3 linked regions of the Oreochromis niloticus genome follow. Each later gene encodes a partner of the first gene's protein in a complex. Links are inferred from orthologs where the notes say so. Each region holds a gene or a part of one and is shown in the gene's direction. Other genes may lie near its edges. The genes, in order: lrp6, dickkopf-related protein 1 and sost.

Region 1 (7,843 bases):
TTGAAAAGTTCTCACAATGAAGACAAAATATCTCTTAATTTAAAAACTATTCTTAGAATTTATTTGAGGTGTTTTTATTTTGTGAAAAAAAAATCAAACTTTGAGATATTTTTTTGGCTTTTTTTTTTTTAGATTATTTGACTTCTCATGAGACAAATTCCTCAGTTGTTACTCGATCTTTTTAAGTCTTATTAAGTGATAGTGCAACTTTGAAGCAGCCTTCAGACTTTAGGCGGTAACACTGCCCTTCTGTGGCCTCTCAGATCACATGATGAGCTCAGAGTCCTGCTGGGAAGCTCATTGGTCCAAAACTTCAGCTGACGATGGAACAAAGAACAAACAGCAATATTTTTACTCGTAGAAACTCAGGAAGCTTCTGAAGTGGACTGGCGAGAAGAAACTATACGAGCGGACTCTGATTCAGATTCTGGCCTTCTTCTGATTCGCCACGGGGTCGCGGGGCCCTTTGTGTATACACCTGCATGTCTTCTTCCTCCCACACGCTTCAGCCATACGAGCCTGTGATTGCTTCTTAAATCACCTGACCGGTGTAGATGTCAGACTCACTCTCTCACTGTGGTGTTTTTGTATTTTGTATTTCACATGTGGATAAATATTCAAACGATGGATGCAATCCTTTGAAAATCGATGCACTATTGTATCCTGTTTTTTTTTTTAAATAATTATGATCTGCTGATTGTTTTTCATAAGTAAGAGGACACTTGCTGCGCACTATTTTCCTATAATGACATTTGTATTGTACTGGATGTGCAGAAACGAGACTGCTATAGCGTCACTTCACCACCAGGTGGCAGCAGCAGCAGTCCGATAAACTGAAGCTGCACCAATGAGGCGTTTTCACTGATACTGCTCTGATTTTTACTTTGATTGCCTAATTAATAATTACATGGATGGTAATAGTTTGGTCTTGTTTTGTGAAGTGATGCTTTTGCATAAGTTTGAACTTTGATGTTTTGTTCTTGTAAGGATTAAAAAACTGTTGATTTTTGAACAGTTTCTGAGTCTGCAGATTTATTTTTTCCTGAGTGTGTTTGATTTTAAATAGAACCGCTGTGATTTTGTATCGTCTGGGTGTTCCACCAGCAAATAATCAAAATTAATCTTGTAAAGTTGTTCCAAGTTAAATAAAATTTCACATTTATCACACCATCACATTTATTACTGTTCTGTATTAACCAAACTGGGCGCAGGTTCATTACAACAACAAAAATAATCAGCCTGAATCTGAGAAAAGTTTCCACCTGACCCATCTGTTTTTTAAATCTACAGAAAATTAAATATATGTCATGGAGCCATGCTTCTACCTTCATATAATGTGTATTTTCAGAGTAACTTGCTGTTAAATTTAGGATTTATCTAACTTGTATTATAAGTTTTTGAGCATTTTTACTTCTTTCAGAGCTGAAAAAACACATTTAACCTCTGTTAAAAACTGCAAACAAACTCCCAAAGGTCTCAGTCTTATGTTATTGCAGATTTCTCATAAACTTGAGTGACGTCTTTGGTCGATGCTGTTCTTGATCAAACTTCTTCTCTATCGTGTCCAGCTAAGCTCCATCTTTGGACAAATTCATGGTGCAGGCTCAACAGTTGGGAAGTGTTTGACAATTCCTCAAAATTTCAAGTTTTTATATCACTTTTCCAGATATATTTATGTACGCCGCACAAAAATTATTTTGAAGAAGGCTAAAATTTTTTTATGATTTAGTGAAGAACAATCATAAGCATTTCACAAGTTTCAAAGACCTTTATTGGCCATAAACATGGCTCGGGGCTAATATGTATGCAAAAAGTTAACGTTTACAGTGTCGACCCTTCTGTTTGTCAGTATCTGGGCCCCAGATGGTGATCCTCCTGCTTTATCACAGTTCCAAGATTATCACTGTTTGTCTCAAAAACTAGAATAAAAACATCCTCAGACTTCTTCCAGTGATCCAGGAGCAGTTTGGTGATGATCTTCCAGCAGGATGTCTTTTGTCTTGTGTCGCAAGATAAAAGTGGTAACTAAGAGGCGTCGAGATTATCAAATAAACATTTTGGATCCTTGGCCAGGAAGCTTCCCAAACTTCAAATCAAGAATCTTTGCTCAGCACTGTAATATTTACTATAGTGGACTTAAATCATATATTATACTGACTCTCCTGTGAGTGTTTGAAACTGGATTTCTTACCATTGTTCTTCACTACATCACAAACACGTATAAAAAAAAGCTAGATAAAAAGTGAAGCAGCAAAATGTATAAAACACTAAATATGTGGTACTGCCAAAATCTTTGGTCATGACTGCATAAAAATAAACTTTAATACTCTAATGTGCTTGTGGCCTTCATCGGGGCCATCATAAATATAACAAACATCATATTCATCTAACCAGGAGCATACTTACCTTCTTACCCTTTGAAATGTTGCCTGTGTTTTATGATGACCCCAGTGAAGTCCACAATCTCAACATTTGTAGTAAAGCTGTTTGTTATGCTACAGGTGCTTCAGAGCTGCTCTCAACGCCGCTTGGCAGAAAGTGATCATCTGCTCTGTTTCAGGAATGATTTTGACTCCTAAAGAATCATGGCTAAAAGATGAGCCTGGCATCAAATGTAGGTAAAAAAGAGACCTTTGATATGCTCTGACTTCAGGGAGTAGCCACTGATCACACATGCTGACATGAGTCTTGAAAGTTTACCCAGAATGCACTTTTTAAAGTTTTCTTCATTGAATTATTATAAAAACAGATCAAACATCCATGGTTTCAACACTTGTTCCTGTTGCTCTAAATCCTCATAATAACATTAAATTGGTGCAGTTTATTCAAGTAATGATTTATCTCATGATACTGACACTCGAATGATTCAAGTTTTTAACAGAGCTTAAATGAGTTTTTCAGCACTTGAAATTTCATGTGGATATTCGCCATACTTACAAAAGTATTATCAAGTCTAAACCCAATCCTAAAAACTCAGTCACTGATCAAATAGTGTGATGGATATTGTGGTTGAACTCATGAAAGGGCACGTGATCAGGTAGTTAATATGTTAACAAGTTACCTCATATTCCTGAAACTGTGAGGCAGTTTTGCTGACCTGCTGATTAAACTCTGAAATATTGTAAATGAGATGCTTTCCTTTCCTCTTTGCTGGACATCTGCGTCCGGTCCACCTTGCTTGTAATTTTTCAGCCCTGCTTTCACTTCCACATCTCCCACAGATACATTCATTAGATAAGACAAGAGTGATCCACACTTTATTAAATCAGCAAGAGATTTTAGAAAAGCTGTTACTCTGAAATAGGAAGTGTACTCTGTAATCTGAGGCCTCACATCCTCAGTGAACTTTCTCCCTCTGAAAGCTTTTGAGAAATCTTGCATTTTCTGATGTTTGAAACCTGAAACTGGGGCTGATATTTCATGAATAAAATCTTAATAATAATAATAATGATAATAATGATAAAGGAATAATAATATTGTAAAAAGTGATTATCTACTTTCTGGGCACTGGGATGCTACTTTCATGAAATTAATATAATTAAAAGGTCCCTTTTGGGGTGACCACAGACCACAGGTTATCTGCCTCCATCTCAGACTATCCCCAGCATTTTTCTCCATCATCTCTTCATGTACTACATCCTGCCTGGCAGCTCCATGTCTATCCACCATTTCTTGTCTGCTGTTGCCCATCTCAACCTTGCCTCTCTAAGGCATAAAACATTAAAATGCAAATCAAAAATAGAAAAATGCAACATGTAAACTTTATAGGGTGTAAAGAAACAGAGAAAACCTGAAATCAGATGTTATAGGTCAGTAAAAAGTGTAAAAATCCAAAATTTTGAATCAAAATTTAGAATCAAAAGTGCTTCTGTTCTTTTTCTCTTAAGAAAAAGAACAGAAGCACTGTAAAATCTATTACGTTATGTAGGTTTATTTACAATATCAGTTTTCACACTTTTTAATAATCCACATAATGGCTTTTTTGTGTGAAAATCAAACAAAAGTGTCAGATTAATCTATATCTGTAATTATTGTGGGTTTCTGGTGAAAATGTGTTTCTTCTGATGTTTTATGGCATTACATAGACTTAGATTTTTAAGATATGTTGTGATGCAGAGATTTAACAAACAAAGCTGATTAAAAGCTTTTTACCAAATGACTGAATTTGGTTTAAAAAAGCAGATATAGTATATAACCATTTCCTGAGCCCCCCTTGCCTTGTGCCACCTGATGAAAAACCCCTGGAAACGCCCCTGCCGTTGGATGATATTGGGGCCCTGTTTTCTGGGGCCCCTGTCCGTGTGATAAAGTAGTCCCGCAGGAATGTGGGGTTAACGTCCGTGTTGGGGGGTGGGGTTCTGTGGGGGTTCGAAGTCGGTTCTGCGGGACGTTTCCGTGCTGTGAGCGTACCTGCGGCTGTGAGGCGGAACAACAATAGAGAGCCGGGCAGCGAGGTGGCGGTGGAGGTGGAGGCGGAGGCTGGAGAGGGGGGGCAGCTTCCTCACAGCGGAAGGAGACGACGGAGCTCCTGCAGGACAATGTGAGACACCGAGAGTTTATCCGACGCAGTTAGCGAGCAGCCAGCCGGGATGGAAGCGGGCACGGTGTAATGCGAACCGGAGCCGAACATCGACCTGAATATTCTGGGAAATCCGCTTTTTTTTGAGCCAAGGAAGCGGCCGCAGCAATGGGAATACTCCGCTGAGGAGCCGCCGCGGCTGGGCCGAGAATCGGGAGAAAGATGGGTGTCGCGCTGCGGAGTCTGTTGTTGTGTAGTTTTTGTTTTCTCATACGAGGTGAGTTTGTGTCCACACTGTGACTTTTACCCACACGTCCCCGCGCGTAAAAGACGCGAAAAAGTGGTGTTGGCAGCCCAGGGGAGCTTTTTCCCTTCTCTGTGGATGTTTGGAGCTCGGCCTCCGGGTCGGATTTCTCCCGAGTGGAGCGAGCTAGCTTAGCCTGCTGCTGCTGCTGGAGGAGAAACCACAAACAGCCCTGTTAGCTGGAAAATACCCCACCAGAGACTACTCACAGCACCGCCAGCTTCCCTTCCAGCGCACCCTTTTGTCGCGGGAGTATGTATTTGGCGCAGTTGGTCGCTCCTGGTTGTGTTTTGTAACTTAAAAACAGGCTGGATCGGGCTCAACAGCAGTTAGCATAACAAATGCTAGGGAGCGAGCTGGTTAGCATCAGTGAGCTAATAGCTAATAAACCATCTACATGGAAAAATAACTTTATTGATAACAATGAACAGAATAAAGAAAAGAAAGGCCAATAAATGTAAAGCATTACACACAAAAGAGCAGCTACACGACTGGACACATCTGTGAGAAATGAATTTATTTGTATAAATCTGACACTAAAGAAACAGTAAAACTGCAAAAAAGAAAAGAAAAACCCTCTAAACTCAGATTACACCAGAAATGAAAGCGAACTGCCAGGTGGATCTAAAGGATGTAAAGAATGAGACCAGGACATGAGTCCGAGGTGGATCTCTTTAGAAAAGTAAACCGAATTAAGTAAATTTATGAAGGTGTCATCGCCATTAAAAATGCTCCGTTAAATTTAGTTTAGTGTTTGCTACACAGCGCGCCTGTGCAGTAGAGCAGAAATACTATATCACAGCAACTCAGCAGGCCTAACTTTATTTGTGTAGCACATCTCACACGATATCATACAGATCATCATCTTGGCCTGAGGAGCTCCTGATAATATCCAGTAAACACTAGAGGATGAAAAATAAAGCACATAAAGCCATCTTATGTAAAGAAAGTTTATAGGTCAGTGAGAGATGATATTTTTTTAAAAACAGATAAAAAACGTGTTTTTTATCTGTGTTAAAAACGGAAACCGTGTTAAAAACTGAAATACAGCGTAATAACTTACGCTGCCTCCTCTGATTTATTTTCATTTATCATATCACATATTCATTCCACAGGTTTCAGTGTCAAACTGTTACCCAATAATTAGGTGTGTTAAAAATTTGTAAATCAAATATTTTTAAATATCAGGTTTATCTTTTATGTATTTAGTTTTTTTCCCCCCATATTTTTGTGATCAAATTACACCAGAAATATGAGCGTAACAATGGACAATCAGATAAATATACAAAATGCTTTCTTTATCCTATATTTGGTCATTCCTTTTGTTGCAACAGTTAATATATAATAAATTACACATTAAGGATAAAATGAGACCAAAGCACGAATGTAAGGTGTAAGTGTCATTTAAACGAACATTTCTGGATCTTCAGTACCAGAACAAATGTTTAACAGTTGGTTAAATTCAGATTACAGCAAGAATTCAAAGTCCAACTCTGAGTGGGATTAACAGATAAAAGATTTGGCGCTGCATGTTGTCAGTCTTCGTTGTGGAGACACTGGTGTAGTTATCACTCTGTGGGATGGAGATTGGGGGTATTTGATTAGTTTTTATCTTGTTTCTTGTCTTCTGTGACTTGTTTCTATAGACTCTGCATCTGGGATGAATAAACATTGATTCACTGTATATCAGGAATATAAATGACAGAAAAAGTGGGAATGAAAATATATTTGTTTGAAATAAGCAAGTTGTACCAAGGCAACGGAAAAAACACTAATTTAAACTCAGATTATCAAAAATAAAGTTAAACAAAGGCTGTATATAAAAGTATTAAAAAGCAACTGATAACGAGCAAGAAATTTTAGAAAAAATTGCTAGAAAGACAATTTTCTGCGCAAGTTCCATAAAATGAGTTTAAGTCCAAGATTAAAAATATTAATAAAGCAATGACGTATGTAGAGCAGAGAGGCTTCAGGGTGTTCGCGTTGCTCTCTGCTGTGCTGCGGTTCAACACTAGAGCCAAGTTTAAAAAAAGCTGGGTTTAACTAATCCCACCACCTGCACCTGCATGCTCGAGTTTCTTTTTCTGACTCACGACTTAAATGGGACGCGGTGGTAATGCAGCCTGGTGATTGGGTGGTTATTGATCAGATCATACACATACAGGAGTCATTATATATTCTGCCTGAATCAGTTTCTCCATCAATCCCCCCTTATTGATTATTCATGAGTTTTGTTTAGGTTTCAGCTTCACTTAAACTTTATATTTAAATGTGAGTATGAACGAAGGACAAACAGGGTAAGTAAAACTCTTGCAGGTGACTCGTGTGCAAATCTCCACTGTTCTGAAAATATGGCACCACATATGGGTACAGATCCTGTAAATAAGTCCAGCTCTTTGCTGAGTTAGAAGAGTTGAAATGATCATACAGTAATTTGTCACAGTCAAACCCATGAACCGATCGGACGAGTGTCTGTTCACTGTGTGGATGATGACCTCACCAAGCGGCTGAGATGTCGTAGTTCAGGTTGTCTGTTTAACTTTTTCTGCCAAGGATAATTTATGTGCAGTTTTTTGCCACCTCACTGTAAACCAGACATTCCCAAACTTCAGACCGCCCAGTTTGAGTTTAAAAATCTTTGTGGTTCGCCCAAACCTTCAATCACAGCTCAGATCATCACATGCACTGAAAATGAAGGATTTTGTTTGTTCTTTCATTGATTCATTTTGATCTTCTGATTGTTTTTCCAAAAATCAGCCAAATCAAACATGTTGAGCTACACGCTCTCAACCTCTTAGAGACGGCATAAAGTCACTTTACTTTCCAAATTAACTTTTATACTTTCCAACTGATGTTGCGATATAAGATGGGTTCAGACTCAAAGGCAACTCAGAAAAGTAAGACTAATAGTAAGTAATAATATTAAACCCCATTCGCTCAGTTTTTTTTTTTTTTTTTTTTTTTTTAGAAGTAACCTTATCAGATTGAAATTTGAGGCTGACAGTTTTGTTTTTACCTCA
Region 2 (8,398 bases), on another chromosome or scaffold:
GGGCCACGACATCTCAGCTGACTACTGGTCTCTAGGAATCCTTATGTTTGAGCTCCTAACTGGCAGGTACCCACAGGCCCGGGCTTGTCCTTAACAAACTTGTTTATGAAGTTTTTGCGGTAATGCTATATACATGCAAAACTTTTTGGAAATGTTGAGTCACCTGGTGAAAATTAAAATGTGTCAGCTCATTGCACAATTTACACAGAACAGTTTGATGGTAGCTGATTACATAATTGTCCACACTTAAGCACTTTTTACTTCAAAGTAATATGTTGGCCTCTGTTGTGTAGTCCTCCATTCTCTGGCCCTGATCCTATGAAAACCTACAACATCATCTTGAGAGGAATCGACATGATTGAGTTTCCAAAGAAAATTACCAAAAATGCTGCCAACCTAATCAAAAAGCTATGCAGGTAAGTGTTTATGCCTGTAGACATTTATACATAGTAATTCATTTAAGTGGTCTGCGTGCTGAATCATATATTATTTTTTCTACTTCAGGGATAATCCTTCTGAAAGACTGGGAAACTTGAAAAACGGTGTCAAAGACATCCAAAAGCACAAGTGAGAAAACGCATTACTCAGTCCAGACATTTGTATTAATTTGTTCGCTGTACAATGATGAAGTAATGCTATTTTTTTCTTTTAGATGGTTTGAGGGCTTTAACTGGGAAGGTTTGAAGAAGGGGACACTGACACCACCTATTATCCCTAATGTAAGTGCACACTGTGCTCATTTTGTTTTGTTTTATAGCCACTCAGTTGTTGCTTATTCTTTATGTGAAAGATTATTTTGTGTTTCTACCAGGTCACATCAGCAGTTGACACGAGTAATTTTGACAGTTTCCCAGAGGACAATGAAGACCCACCTCCTGATGACAACTCCGGCTGGGACGTTGATTTTTGAAGTCCTCTTCTCTTGAAACCAGAAGAAACTCTTCTTTTGTTGGCTTTTAATGGTTTGGAGGTCATTAATGGAGGACATGGCTGTGTTGTAAAAAACAAAACTGCATTAAAAATGAAAGAGAAGATATGGAAAAGAAGATAAATAGTTGGATGGCAAACCCTCTGGGTCACCGATATGCCTTTATTTCACTGTGGCTCTGGATCAAGCATTTATAATGGGACTGCTGTAGCACTTCTCCGGTGTTGTTTTACACTTGGGTCTTAAAGGCAAAGAAAGTGCAGGGATACAAACACACACATACACACACAAATACAACAGAGGCTGATAACAGAGCCAGGTTTTCCCATGTAACATGAAGCAATGCTTAGTGGATGGATGAATGTTTTAAAGTTTGTCGAAGTTTTGCTTCTACGACTAGAAAAAGGAACTATATGTTGACAACCGCTCAAAAGAGGAAGGGGATGGTTATTGGTTTTTCTTTTTTTATAGATTCGTTTTTCCGCAATCTTTAGTGAAATATTTGGTGGACTCTGGGAGGGGATATGATGATACTGCAGTTGGTCCCTGGTTATCAACATGCAGCTGCTTTCTGCAATCTGTAATGCTTTGTAGACATCTACACACTACAGATGGCAAGTGCAACTGGTACCAAGTGCTCACGACTAATCTGAATGTCACAGATTTTTCTTCTTATTGAAAATACAATATGAATGGTACGTAGTATTTGAATTTACGAGATCTATCATCACACATGAACGTTACTGGGCTGAAATCAAATACTTAGTACAATTTATGTGAGATTAATCTACCTTGAAAAGCACAAACACAGTGCATTCAGTGGAAAGAGATGTGACTCTTAAAGTGCCCTCCTTAAAATTTTAATGAATCACACACCGGCACACATGAAATGTCAGCTAGTATTTCCATGAAGCAATGTGTCCTTATGCACTTAAGACCATTAACTGAGAAAATCCACAGTTATAGCTCATTTTAAGCTTAAGTAGAGGTCACACTTTTCTGTTCTATAATAGGCTTTAAAAAAAAATCATGCATACGAATGCTTCTCTGCCTACATCCGTCTTGAGTTTGTTTTTCAGTCACTTCTTGAATCCACCCAAACCGGACGTCCTCTCCTGTATAGTACTGACATAACTGTGAACATGGTTTTGATGTCTTTGGTGCTGTTGATAAATTATAATAAGCGATGTTGAGATGACAGTACTGGTTCTTTGTTTTTGTATTGTGATTTCTTTTGTGCTTGATTACTTTGTAACGTACTTGACAGCATTCTTTAGAAAAATTGGAGACTTGTATAAATTTGTGAACTTGATCGATGATTTATCACTTGTGGTATTGTCGAGGTTTTTAAACAGGTTTCACCATGTTGAGTTCAGCCGTGAAAAAAAAAATCATCCTTCTGTTTATTTGGAACTCAGATTTACCACATTTGCATTATCATAAGACTATCTTGACTTAACATAATCGCGTGGGAATCTTGAAGTGTCTCCTAGAGGCAAAAAGAAGCTAAATAAATAAGGTTATATTTTGTGAAATCTCAACTTTGATCACCATGATCTCTCGCCCAGCTCGTCACCTCTTGCGTCCAAAAATCAGAACATGAAGTCAAAAGGAATGTAAGTGCCTTAAGTCAATGGCATACAAAATTTACATCACAAGACCTTTTCGATGCTGCATGAACACATATACACCTCAAAAACTTATGTGTCCTCTTAGATGGCTGCTTTTCATCCTTTCTTATATCTAATAAATACATTAATCACCACAGAGAATTTCTAGTCATTTGATGGCTGACAAAATATATGAGAAAAATTTCCTGCTTACGCCTTTGATTTATGCCACGAGAACATTTAAAATGATTAAAAGCTATCCTACCTGATATGGCTGCAATGACATGCTTTTCTCCACATATCTAATGTGATCTTTTGAAGTCAATCACTACTGGCCTGATACAAAACACCAGTGAGCATTAATCATGGCTCAGAAAGACCATCCATCACTTGTTTCAGTCAGTAAATTTGAGCTTTTAGAGACGGCAAGAATGATTTGCAGTTATGAATATTTTGCCAGTACAAATATGGAAATATTTTTATCACTGTTGACAGTCTTTGACAGAATGTCAGCATTAATCATATCTCATCACGATTCAAATTCTCTTTTCACTGTTTGGCTCAAAAGCTCAAGTCACATTTCACCCCACTAGCAGGAGAAGTTTGCCTTTCAAAAGCTTTCTTATCCGTTGTAGTTTACAGTCATTGTTTGCTTGTGTCTAGGCAGCAAATCCACGTGGTAAAGCTTGAAGAAACAGTTAAAATTCATCCTTTTGACGATATTAACCATGTATTGCAAAGCCTTTCTAGGCAGAAAGTTCTGAAGGCAAAATTCTCCTATGTGCATTCACCCCAGGAAGCCAAACATACATATTATATGAATCTATTGATGGAGAACTAAAAAAAAAAAAGAAGAAATCTTAATTCTAAACCATAAGTGTTTTACTGTGTCGGGGGAGGGAGGGGGGTATGTTTTCACAAAGCCTTATGTATGTCATAACTTACCAAACCACTGGTTTTCAGTTTTTATTGACTGCCTTCTGCAAAGTTACCTGATATTTGCCTTGTGTTGTTATTTTTCTGCTGTAAGTTATTTTGCAGAGTGCCACGTGTACGATTTTTAAAATTATAGAGTAAAAACAATACTTTTGAGTCGTGTGTGCTGTGTTCTTTCAAACTTGTGCTGTGCAGAGTTCGCTGTATTTGCCACAAGGGGGAGCTAATGGTAAGACTAAAACGTCCCTTCACGCAGGCGCCTCAGCCTCATGTGAACCGCTTAAAGTTCCCAGATATCTAATAATCACTCCAAGAGTTTAATGTCATCCACTTAGTGGTAAGTGCGGATGATTCAGCTTTTTTGGCCTCCGTGTTGTTCGCACAACAAATCTGTTTGGGGCACAGGGAAATGGCTTCAGCCATAACAACAGGGTGACACTTCTGTGAGATCAAAGGGGATCAAAGTGCATCAAAGGAGCTCACCTTACCAGTACTGACATTCAGTAAAGTGGAGATAAAAGCTCTACTTCAAAAGATATGCAGCAATTCAAATGCGCAAAGTGCTAATGTGTTTGTCAGGTGTCTATGGCGCATCGCTTATTCTTCTACACACGCAGACACGTTCTCACACTCAAACTTCGGATAAAGGCTCCGTGACCAGCAGATGACGTCCAAGTGCTAAGATATCTACAAGGAGAAACTTAAGTTCTTGTTTTTTATCACGCACTTCAGCATCTGAAGGGAGCTCTTCTTGCACAGCGAAAACTGACTGTTCACACACACAGTGCAAAAAGTTTTGAAATCAGTGTCACTAAAGGTTTAAGGTGAATAAATAAATCAGAAGAGCTCACATCTCTCAGGAAAGGGACGAGAGATAACAACTTAAGGACAAACACGGAGACAAGTCTAGTGCGATGTGGGGTTATCAGCAGATTCACGTGGAAAAACAACATTGAGACTTAATTTCAATATTCTCAAATACATTTCTCCTTCTTGAAGTGGTGGAGCCTAAAGGGTCAAAGAGCAGGGTAGATCAGAGTCGCCTTTAATCTCAAAGTGCCAGTCAACCCTGAAAGGCCTCTCCACGGAAGTCCATTAATTCGGCAAAGTTTTCACACCCCTTAATGGTCTGCATATCCTACACATTGATGTCCGCAACTGGTGTAATCAAGCACACGTTGGGGGATAATTGCCCCCTTTGCAATCAGAGGGATCAAATGAAGTAGTTAATCGACTTAAGTAACTTCAATCGCTGTCTTCACACAGCCAAAGGGCAGCCAAAGGATGTCAAAGAAACTGGAATAAGCAAACGGCTTCTACAAAGATGCGCAGGTAAGTTGTCACCAGAAATAGTCCTATCAGAGATATAAATCAAAATCAGTCAACAAATCAAATGTGCTACCACATTTAGAAAAACGTCATTGTTTTTATTTTATAAAGTTATACCTATAATAGTTTGAAAAATATACTACTTGCCTATTTTGATAACTTCACAGTAATTGCGAAAATTAAAATAAGTGATAAATAACATGGAGAAAAAAAAAACTATTCCCGATGTGTGATTTGTGTGTTTAAAATATAAAATTGTCGTTCATAAGAGATCTATCTAAGGGGGAGGGACTCGAGTGATGAATTTGTGAGTAATATTTTTAAAACACATCGAAAAAATATTAAAGAAAACATTATTTGTCATCTGTATTTTTTATGTTTTTATTTATTTATTTATTGTATACTGATTGGATAGAGTAAGTACTGACTGGTGGTTGGGGGGTTGTTTCCCGTGTACGCCACTGTGTGATGGGTATTCAGACAGACTTTGCAGGTCATTATCATCACAAACACTGAAACGTTGTCCTGTGCAGGGAGCAGAGATGGCCATTTCCGTACAGTGGGTCTCTGTTTGAAATTCCACCCCTCCGCCTTTGTAGTGCACAGCGAGGGGCGGGAAGACAAACAGGTCCACATGTATAAAGAGAGATCATCCCAGGACTGCGAGTCAGGAGACTTCCAAACATCGTCCTGAAACTCTCTGGAAACTTTAGGATTCTGGATTCAAGGCCGTTTTGGACTTTGTCACTCTTCTTCTCAAAACAAAAGGGACATTCTTATCGTGTGTTTGCCGGAGAATTTAAGAAAGGAATCATGAAGATGCCTTCAGTCCGCCGCTTCTTGGCTGTGTATCTCACGCTGTTTGGATACCTTGGGGACGTTTACGCGGGCACAGTCCTGACGAACTCCAACGCGATCAAAAACCTGCCCGGCGCTCCGGTTGTTAAAGATACCGATAGTGTCAGTCCGAGTCCTCGAACATCACCTTCTGGTGGCATGGGACACAAATTACCCGCAGACACCTTGCAGGTAATTAACTCAGCCGTGCGTAAAAGTCAAGTCTGTGCACCACAATAGTGATTCGCTTATATACGTTGTCACAGAAATCATAGCAATATACTTCCTGACATAATATTTTTGTTTTTAATCATATATAGAGCTCAGGTGTTTGCACGGATGATGAAGAGTGTGGAGGTGAGGAATTCTGCAACGATGCTCGAGGCGTCTGTCTACCCTGCCGTAAGAACCGAAAGCGTTGCGCAAGGGACTCGATGTGTTGTACAGGAAACCGCTGCAGCAACGGTGAGCTCATTTCAAATCAGTAATGACTTTTGGTTTTCTTTTTGTCATCTTGTAAACTATATTTTTTTATTCAACTTTCTACTTATTATTTATATCTTAATTAACTAAGGGCTTTTTCTGTAGTGTTAATTGCAAACCCTAAATGCAGTTATTTATTTTCGTCTTTTACCTTTTCAGGTGTTTGCCAGGCAAATGACTTAGATGGTGCAGATGTAGCTCTCACCACTGGCTGGCACACACACAACAGTACCACGGAGCATCGAGCCAAGAAGCCTCCCACTGCCCATAGCAACCAGCCTCATGCTGTCAAAGGTAAGTGTGCTGTTAAAAATCATCAGTCTTATCTCTTGGGTTCAAGTAACAGCAGTAGGAAGTTTTCAGGGAGGTCTGTTCCATGTAACATATTTTCACTTTGTTCTCTTCCCCCCCTCATCTCCAGGCCAAGAGGGGGATGCCTGCCTGAGATCTGCAGACTGCTCCAAGGGTCTTTGCTGTGCCAGACACTTCTGGTCTCGCATTTGTAAGCCTGTTCTGACAGAGGGCCAGGTGTGTACGCGCCACCGCAGGAAAGGCAACCATGGCTTGGAGCTGTTCCAGCGTTGTGACTGCGGCGAAGGGCTGGCCTGCCGACCAGAGAAAGGAGAGCGAGATCACACTGTCAGCAGGACTGCAGCCCGGAACCTACACACCTGTCAGAGACGCTGACATGAACGAGTGGACGCACACAGAAACAGAAACCTGCACACTCACACGCCCAGCAAAACCCACAAATCAGTCACAGACACTGACAAACACTTGCATACACAAGAGATGCTGACACACACGCGCACACACATGCACACAGACACCTAAGACATTCTTTCCTGCCAAAGTTGCTGACACAAACACATCAGCCGGAAGGATAGACATGATTCCTGGAAAAGTGATACACCCAGAGGGATACAAGAGTGCAAGACGGACTGATTCAATTCCCTTTCAGCAGATGAGGAGTCGGAAGTTAGGAAGTGACATTTCAGAAGTATTAGGAAGATCAATGCATGTCGTTGGTAATGGCAGAGCTGTTTTGTTTCTCTTTTTATGGAACTTCATGCCACGGTTATTGCAGTAAATTACTGTATTGTACATATTTCCCTGGATGTGGCACTTAAATGAGCTATTACATTCTGTCAACACCAGTATTATAAAGACATGGTGCTGCATGCATTGTAAATGTGTTATATATAATGTTTTATAAGAAATGTTATCTATTGAAAATTTGAATATATTTGTTTTATTAAATGTCACGTGATAATCTTAATGCAGTCTTTCTATTCATCATTTTTTAAAATTTGAATCTACTGCAACAAAAAAAGGGGGGGGGGCTTTACGTAGGATTTGTAGAGGTTTCTTGCAAAAGTTAAAAACTAAATGATTTAGTCTTCATATAGTAGCTGGTACACAGAAAAATAACAACTGTCCCCTTCTGAAAAGCAAAAGTTGTTTGAAGGATGTCTGTGGTGCTTAACCTGGCCCAGAATCACTAAACACAGTTGTTACACAGACCCAAAAAGACTTACAACAAACATACAACTGTAATGAGTTACTACTGGAGCCTCAACACGTCAGGTCCTGCTGTGAAAGCAGAGAATGGTCAATCAAGGATATATTATCAGATGAAGGCAACCCACCATATCAAATGATGCCTACAAAGAGGTAATAACTAAGTATCTGTGTCCTGACGAATGTGTTTGCCACCTACACCTTTGGTGTTGGCTAGTTTCTAATTATGATGTTCCTGCCTTCATGTGCAGCAGAGCAGATAGCTGGCTATCCAAGCTAAAGCCTCTAATTATTTCATCTTACTCAATCTACACAAGGCTTCATGAAATGAGGTGCACCACAGCACTTTTTCTGTGATGCAACAACAACAAAAAAAGTTCTCAGTCTCTCCAATTGCACAGCACACCCCATTTCCTGGCTGTTGCGCAATAGATGTGCTCTAATATGTAGGCTATGAATCCACTCAAATACACCTTGGTACCTGTAATTAGAGATGTTTAGATTAGAAGATGGTGAGGAAATTACTATACTTTTTGTTTGATTCTCTTGTCAGATCAAAAGACGCACAAGACACTCTTGATATCTGACCGAGCCAGATAACCTCTTCATCTGTTTACATCCACAGACATTAGCTTGAAGTTTGTCCAAAGAAGACAAGGTGAGGTTTACTCTGGCTGTCATTGAAGATTAGTGGTGGAAAAACAAAACCATCGGCTCAAATCTTGCGCTAAGGTATTTGTGTGGCTCACTCTAG
Region 3 (7,783 bases), on another chromosome or scaffold:
ATCAATCCCTCCCTAGAAAAAAAAAAATCTGGCACAGCCTCAGAGCTGGAGGGTTACACACAATAGGAAGACAAGGCTGTCTGCTCAGTCTACTTTAGAACCCCTTGGATTATAAAATGAGAATCATGCTCGATGTCAAAATTCATAAATGTTACAAAAGAAGCAGCGTCGTTGCTGGGGCTAAACATAATGTACTCCAATACAGAGTTCTTACCTGTAATTATATTATATTACCAATGGATACTGTTGCAAAAGATCACCCTCTGGTTCAGATTCTTTGATTTTTGGCATAGGTCTGCCAAACTCCCCTGTTAGCATCTTTCACAATACTCTTGTTCATCAGATTTCACGTTGCTGCCAATCTGCAATTTTTGGAAAAAAGTGAACACTTTGAATTTGATGCAAACTTCACTAAAGTTTTATACTCTATCCGTTGTAGCCATTAGAAGAATCTTATATTACACATTTCACCTTGGCGGCATGGCGGCGCAGTGCTTAGCTCCGTCCAAGCAAGCGTTCATGTTCTCCCTGCGCCTGCGTAGATTCTCTTCAGGTGCTCCAACTTCCTCCCACAGTCCAAAGACATAAACATTAGGCTGGAATGTGAATGGTTGTTTGCCCCTCTGTACAACAGACTAGAGCATTTACCTGACCTCTCGCCCTATGACAGCTGGGATACGCTCAAGTCCCACCTTGAACCTGAATTAAATAAGCAGGAAAAAAAATGGATGCATGGATAAAAACACTGTTTAGCCCAAGTGTGGCAAACTCATTTTTATTCATTCGACAAATTCTTACAAGTTTGCACTTAAGAAGTAAACCATGTTTTTAATAAATTACATTTTAAAAATGAAGAACAATTTTTTCCCCCCTTTTAAGGTGTGAATTTTAGTTTCTGATAGCACCAAACGGCTGCTAAATATAGTGCCGCATTTTAACAATGAAGATGAAAATATAAGTAAAAATTGGAAATGGCCAGAAACACCACTGCAGTGTTGCTCTTTATGTTTTAAATGTGTCACTATCACTTTCTATCAATGTTTATGGTTATGCCATAAACATTTTCCTCTACTTACAGATTTTGGCAAAATTACAAAAAAATGTAGGCATCTCAACAGCTTTTGATTTTTGTACATTTTAATTTATTTCAACAATCATAAAAATGATCCCAGCATATTTTATTCTGAATTTATCTTTGGGTCACTTGATATTTTGGGGCATTTACACGCCAAAATATAAAATATATATTATTTAAATGCACTGAAAATACATTCAGTCTAAAAGGGTTTTATAGAATAAACTCCTACATGTTATGAATATCATAAATTATAACAGAAACCATGCAAACACATGAGATAGCCAGTGCATAACTGTGTTTTTACTGGCAAATATGCATCTATATGAAATGCACTATGAGTAAGCAAAACAGTTGAGGTTAATTGGTGCAAATATGTGGTAAATTTATCATATTGTCTGATGAAAAAGATAAAAATGTAAGATCATGGCTGTTGAACAAGTTTCTTTTCCTTCTTAAACTATTTATTGACATCAGCTTTTGTGCAATTTCCCATCATCACATCAAACAGTCATGTGAATAATGCGTTACAGAACATTCGAACAGCCGACTTTTAGAACAACACCGTCTGGACATGATGATTTGCTTCAGGAGTCTTTGTGTTGATGGCCCTTTGTTAGCTAAGACCACACAAACCACACATCCACAACGATCATAATCTAAACACGACATACCTAAAACAGGCATAACAACACTTCTACATTAATGAGTTGAATGACTTGAGTCGTTCTGCTGAGCTCATATGAGCAGGCGGTCAACAATTACAGTATTTATCCGTACACACACAAAAAAATGCTAAATTACTGTAAAAACTGTTTTGTGGTTTTACAGCAATGTGTCATGATGTTTGAAGCTGTACTGCAGTTGCACAGAAAGTATCAAAATTTGTCTTTATGTACTTTTTTTGAAAGTAAAAACTGTTTTTCAGCTCTGACGTGAGTATTGCTTAAGGAGCAGCTTCACTATTGTGAACAACAGAGTTACAGATCCAGGTGCTTTTTAAGTCTTTTTAACTACATTTAATTTTCAGGGCTTATTAGCCCATTTAAAGACTGTTTTCTCTTGTTGTTTGAAAGTTCCATGTTCTTATCTTCATTTCTGCTAAGTGTTTTTGCTGTGTTGTGTTTTTTTTACTTTACTTTTAATGCAGCTTTAGTTTAGCCCCAAGAAAAAAAACTTGTTCTCACTAAACCAACATTTGACCTTTTTTTTTAAATTCCATCAAATCTAGTAGCAGCTATAAAACAACACTATTACATACCTACAGTTGATGCAGGAACGTTTACACATGAAAGGACTGTTAAGCTCCTAAAGGCTGGACTGAAAATGCAAATTTTAAAGATAATTGGATTTGACACTCAAGAAGAGTGGCCCCTATACGAGGCTTTTAGAAATGATGAAAAGCTCTGTTGTTACTTTCTCTTCAGAAGAAAATGTTTTTGACTGGCTGATGTTATTTAAAACTCCTTAACAATAAATTTAATTTAATCTTATCCCCATTATGTTCACCACTTTAAATTGTGATGGATGGGCCAGTTGGCCAAAGCTTCAAACCCTCATTTGAGGCTTGTATAAAACTAGAAAGACCATGAGGAGGGTGTGTATGATTATGGAAGCACATCGGTGCCTCAATGAGCGGTTAGAGCGATGCGATACTGACCAAGAGAACCACTTTAGAGTTTAAGAGATAAAAACCAAAGATCTGCATGCCTGTACCCATCAGTAGAGCCGGACAGTGTCATGCAAAACTTGTGTAGTCTCCCTCAAGAGGGCAGTGTTTGAATGGAAGAGCCTCCATCTGTCAGCACTTATCAAATCACTGGGATATGAGGGGTGCCAAGAACTCACAGTCTATAACATTTTATTTAAAACAGATATGTGGATATGAAATATTGGATTGTCATGGCAAACATTTAAATTGTGTTCAGAACACATGTTGCTGTGCTCATACTTTTTTAGATTTTCACATCTCGTTATATTAAGTGTCTCTGCTGAGACGTGTAATGATGGGTAATTAATGTGAAGGATCAAATGATTAATTTGTGTACAGCCTTGAGTCAAAGACAGGGTAAAAACGTGTCTCGGGTGGAGTGTGTGTGGCGCATGTTTGCTGCAGCAGTGGAACAAGTTGCACCCTGCGATGAAGTCCAAAATAAACCCCCTTGAAAAAAAAAATGCTTTCTGAGACACGTAATGCTGCGGAAGCTGTTAAAGAAGGGGGAGGAGAAGATGCACCGGTGCACTTAAATCCAGTAACAACAACAGCGGCACAGAGCGATGTGCAGATGAGCTGCCTCACTCAACACTCTCTGACATAAGTAAGCTCCTCTCCAGTATCTCTTTTTTTATTTCTCTGTCCTTTCAACCCTTTCCTTTGGCTTTCATCCCCCTTATCTTAACTCTTTTTACTCCCATTTCCTCCACTCTCCTCTGACCTTTCCCTCTCTTCTCCTTTTTCAGTCTCATCTCACACCCAAGGGTGTGTTTAGAGCAATGGCACAGGGTGGCACCAGCCCAGAATTATTAGGCTTATAATCCCCAACACCAGTGGATAAGAACATGGATAAGTGGTAGAGCATAACTTCAGAATTTTACTCAAGCATTTAACTGACCAATGCAGACATCAGCCTGGTTACTTATTATATTGTATGTAAAGGTGATTAAAATGACATGTACATTAATGAATCAATTATTATGACTGAATAACATAATGAGTACTTTGAAGCATTTAAAGATCAAAAAAAGAAGAAAATGTTACTTTTATTTCATGTAGATGGAAATATCACCACACTGTTGCTCTATATGGCCAAACAATACACATTAGCCGTTTGTACCATTTCAGTAAGCTTATGGCTTTTACTTCAGTAAATGGTCTAAATACTTGACAAAATGATTTTCAGGCACTTGTGCAGACACTTTTCATATAGAACATATGTACTCTATGAAGGCATAAGGCTGCACACAAGCCTGGAAATCTTCCCTAATATCCTCTACACTCTTTTTTTAAATTTCTGATCAAATATTCTGGTTAACTATTTTAAAAATAAGTAAATAAATAATGGAAGCACTCCTGCTCATATCTGTATTTTCCTTCACTGCGGTCTCTTCTTCCTTGATCTTCTCAGTTTTCTATTACTTTTCTTCTTCTCTCTCCTCTCTCTGTTACTCCTCTCCTGCTCTCTCCTCTCTCTGTTACTCCTCTCCTGCTCTCTCCTCTCTCTGCGCATTCATCCAAACCTCTCCCCTCCTCCTTTCTCAATGAATCTCTCGGCCAGGTTCAATCCCTCCCACTTTGTGTAAGCGCCTAATTGTCAGCCCTGACGAAAACTTGCGCAGCGCTTAAATACCGCATTCGCCTCTTGCTTTGAGAGTGCAAGTGACCAGCCTGTTCAGAAGGACATCTCTTGTGTATGTGTGTGTATGTGTGTGTGTGTGTGTGTTTTATTTTAACAAATTTTTTTTTTTTTAAATCTCCTTGTGTGATTTATTCCTGCTGACCGACAAGCATGCAGGTGTCTGTGGCCCTCCTCGTCTCCAGTTCGGCTTTCCTGCTGCTCCAGGGATGCTGCACCGCTGTGAAGGGATGGAAGGTTTTAAAAAATGATGGCACGGAGATTTTACCAGAACGCAGAGAAAATACGCGGACGCCGCTGGAGGCAATACTACAGCCGTCCAACAGCAACAATAACAACAACAACAACAGCAACGCTATGAATAACAGGGCAAAAAACGGCGGACGGGCGGCAAGCACAGTTTCCTACAGTAAGTATCATAAAGATGACAGAACAAATGTTAAATATTTAATTTTACAAGTTAAATAAAATGAGAAGGTAAAGATCAATAAGTAAATCGACGCAATGCTTAAAGTTTAAATGCTGGAGTGATTTAATTTGACCTCTTAATTGGAGGCTCTTGTGCGTAAAATTAACCATCCGTCAGAGCTTTATAAAAACTCATTAAAAGGCTTAAATTTAGAAAACTTTCGGATTTTATCGCATAAAACCTATTCCCAGCTTGTATGAGAACAAGCAGGAAGGAGCATAAATGTTTATTTATTTGATTTTAGGTCCCCATTTTCAATTAGTGCACGTTTATAAAGAATAAACGTGGACCCAACTGCGCTGTACACCCAACCTTTACTTAATACACAAAAATGTGACATAAATTAGGAAAGTTTATTTCTCATTATATTTTCCACATTTAAGAATTTTAAACTTTAATTCAACTTTTTTTTGGCTTAAAAATAAAATAAAATTTAAAATCTTGTGTCAAAAATATTCAGTGTATGTGGAAAATGTAGGCTCTCCAAATTAATGTGGCTTTTTAAAAATTGCCCTAAAACACCCTGCCTCTACATCCTGCTTCATTATCACATCAATTTCCTGATTAAGAAGCGTGTAAAAGGTCTGGTTTAATCCAGAGGTGAGGGTGATGAGAGCGGCTCAGACGCACATTCCTGTGGTTTCTTCCCCTACACACAGCAGTCAGTGAGACATCGGGGCTTTTTCACATTGTCTTCCAGGTTGTTTCCTTCTCTCTTCATACTATTAGTCAAGCTCTACTTCCACCATAACTATTTGATTGCAACAACATGTCTCCCAAACAGAAAAAACCCCACAGTTTGCTCTTTGGGGAGATGTCTTTGGGGGGGTTTTAGAAATTGCTTTTTAAATGCAACACTGCCTTTGACAATGATTCCCACCTGTGGCCGGTAACGGTTGTGTGTTCTGATTAAGTAGCGCATGCAGGATAATCTCATGCTTGGTCTCATGGATTCGAGATGGGTGGTGCAACATTTTTGTTAAATTATGGCCCCTTGATTTGGAGATCAGAGGAGATGATTGATTAGATTAGAAGAGCAACAGCTGACAAGAAGTGAGTAGTAAGTCGAGGAGAGTTAGTGTGACTGATTTTCTTGTCTTAAAGGGTAGAAAAAGAAAAAAAATCACACGCCAAGCAACAGCTCCAGAAGATCTCATTTAACAGGAATTTATTCATTATTAGCAGGGATGGAAAATGCATCTCTTGCTTTTACAGTGAATGTGCAGCTAATGAAGGCAGAACTCTCCTGGATTATTTTCTTCACCCATATCTTAATTTTCAAGTTATCCTTCCCCCTGTGGGGTCACAAAAGAGGCTGTGACCACTGCCTGGCCTCCCTCCAGTCTTCCCCAGAGGCTTGTCTCCCACAGCTGAGGGAAAGGAACAGCTCACGCAACTCTACAGTAGTCTAGTGTGTAATCATGAAAATTTGAGGCTCATTAGTAATTTTAAAACTAGGGTGGAGAATTGAAAATGTTAGGCTGGATTAAAACACATCCTGGTGCTTCATAAATAAGACAACCTGTCTTGGCATATGGTGGTAACTGGTGCAAACCGCCACCCGGTGTACGCTGTAGGCGTTGTATACTTCTGCGGTCGCCTTCACCAGCAGCCGCAGAATAACACTAGATCATGTTCTCGTGAGGAGAGGGGAAAAAAAGGAAGTCACCTCACATAAATCCTTTGTTCAGCCCTTTTTGCAAAGAAAGCCACAGAGGAAAACAGATCCTTCTCCGAGTGTATCATTTCTTAACCAACAGTTCTTTTGCCTCCTCGATTTCTTTCTTTTTTTTTTTAAACATGCAGCTTGTAAGAAAAAAGAAAAAGAAAAAAAACACAGGACAATAACTCATGCGTACGGCTGTTAAAAAGCTGCAGCTGAAATATAGGATTACAGCCTGAGTGTGCTGTCTCGAATCAGCCTGGCAGATGTCCAGTTTATTCAGAAGTGTACAGTTGTAGCGCTGCCTTAAAATAACCAGACAGCTATTTACTCTTCCATCACCACATACATTTCCTGAGGGCCAACGGTGAATGCCAGCTTTTTCCTTCCAGACCAAACCTCCGTTCGGTTTGATTGAGCTGTTTAATGGCCCTCTGGTCTGGATTTGCTATCAGCTGATTGCTGCCAGCTGGATTTCTTCGTCAGGCCCAGTTGTCAGCTAATGATCAGACCATAAATCAAATTCAGAAACTCTGATCTCATTGGCTTAAGCCTCCACTTAAAAGTACAAATTACTGTATTAGGCTGAATTTAGAAAAGTGGATTTTTCAGCTGCTCTTTTGTGTCTCGTAACGTGTCGGAGCTGAAATGAAACGCTGCCTCCGGTTCAGACTTTATTTGCCTTACGTTGTTTGTTTTTCACATAAATAACGCAACACGTGAAGTCACGTTGGCATAAACAGACCGAGGCAAATGATCACACACTGAAATAAGACACAGCTGCAGTCGCCCTGCAGAAAGTCCGCAGCACTGTGTGGCTCTCCAGAGTGTTTGTTCTGGACTCGATCCATGAGTGTTAACGGTTATCTCCTCTCTTCAACCCAGGTGCCTCGGAGGTGAGCTGCAGGGAGCTGCGTTCGACCCGTTACATCACCGACGGCTCTTGCCGCAGTGCCAAGCCTATCCGAGAGCTGGTGTGCTCGGGTCAGTGCCTGCCCGCGCACCTCATGCCGAACTCCATCCTCCGTGGCAAGTGGTGGAGAAGCAGCGCCTCAGACTACCGCTGCATCCCGGCGCACTCCCGGACACGCAGGGTCCAGCTGCAGTGTCCCAACGGCAACACTCGGACGTACAAAATCCGCGTGGTCACCTCCTGCAAGTGCAAGCGCTTCAGGCCGCATCACAACCAGTCGGTGGCCAAGGAGGTCCCGAAGACGCAACGC

The links.
Region 2: the proteins of lrp6 (region 1) and dickkopf-related protein 1 are in contact, whole or in part, in a crystal structure (PDB 3S8V), measured with the Homo sapiens proteins. The link is inferred for Oreochromis niloticus from reciprocal best matches to the Homo sapiens genes LRP6 and DKK1. Residues at the interface, in NP_001401174.1 of Homo sapiens: Arg639, Glu663, Ser665, Ile681, Tyr706, Glu708, Thr724, Arg751, Trp767, Gly768, Gly769, Pro771, Val790, Gly791, Arg792, Asp811, Thr812, Asn813, Leu814, Pro833, His834, Phe836, Trp850, Ser851, Tyr875, Met877, Arg1184; in NP_036374.1 of Homo sapiens: Glu185, His204, Phe205, Trp206, Ile209, Gln218, Val219, Thr221, Arg224, Arg225, Ser228, Gly230, Leu231, Glu232, Ile233, Phe234, Arg236, Ser258, Leu260.
Region 3: the proteins of lrp6 (region 1) and sost are in contact, whole or in part, in a crystal structure (PDB 6L6R), measured with the Homo sapiens proteins. The link is inferred for Oreochromis niloticus from reciprocal best matches to the Homo sapiens genes LRP6 and SOST. Residues at the interface, in NP_001401174.1 of Homo sapiens: Arg28, Asp52, Val70, Ser71, Glu73, Leu95, Ser96, Asp98, Glu115, Arg141, Trp157, Trp183, Asn185, Ala201, His226, Phe228, Trp242, Met269, Arg336, His361, Asp379, His404, Asp406, Thr422, Glu447, Arg449, Trp465, Trp491, Asn493, His534; in NP_079513.1 of Homo sapiens: Leu115, Pro116, Asn117, Ala118, Ile119, Gly120, Arg121, Arg169, Thr171, Arg172, His174, Asn175, Gln176, Ser177.

Annotation. Positions count from the first base shown.
Region 1 is NC_031981.2:21,753,559-21,761,401, reverse strand, and holds the start of lrp6 (low-density lipoprotein receptor-related protein 6), read left to right. Parts: upstream 1-4,342; 5' UTR 4,343-4,741; coding exon 4,742-4,796; intron 4,797-7,843. UniProt on the Homo sapiens protein: Component of the Wnt-Fzd-LRP5-LRP6 complex that triggers beta-catenin signaling through inducing aggregation of receptor-ligand complexes into ribosome-sized signalosomes.
Region 2 is NC_031978.2:15,063,743-15,072,140, forward strand, and holds dickkopf-related protein 1, read left to right. Parts: upstream 1-5,243; 5' UTR 5,244-5,616; coding exon 5,617-5,832; intron 5,833-5,960; coding exon 5,961-6,105; intron 6,106-6,282; coding exon 6,283-6,417; intron 6,418-6,544; coding exon 6,545-6,810; 3' UTR 6,811-7,402; downstream 7,403-8,398. Other genes in the region: cGMP-dependent protein kinase 1, read left to right, coding at 1-66, 294-416, 505-567, 653-719, 812-910. UniProt on the Homo sapiens protein: Antagonizes canonical Wnt signaling by inhibiting LRP5/6 interaction with Wnt and by forming a ternary complex with the transmembrane protein KREMEN that promotes internalization of LRP5/6.
Region 3 is NC_031973.2:6,392,192-6,399,974, reverse strand, and holds the start of sost (sclerostin), read left to right. Parts: upstream 1-4,374; 5' UTR 4,375-4,581; coding exon 4,582-4,837; intron 4,838-7,445; coding exon 7,446-7,783. UniProt on the Homo sapiens protein: Negative regulator of bone growth that acts through inhibition of Wnt signaling and bone formation.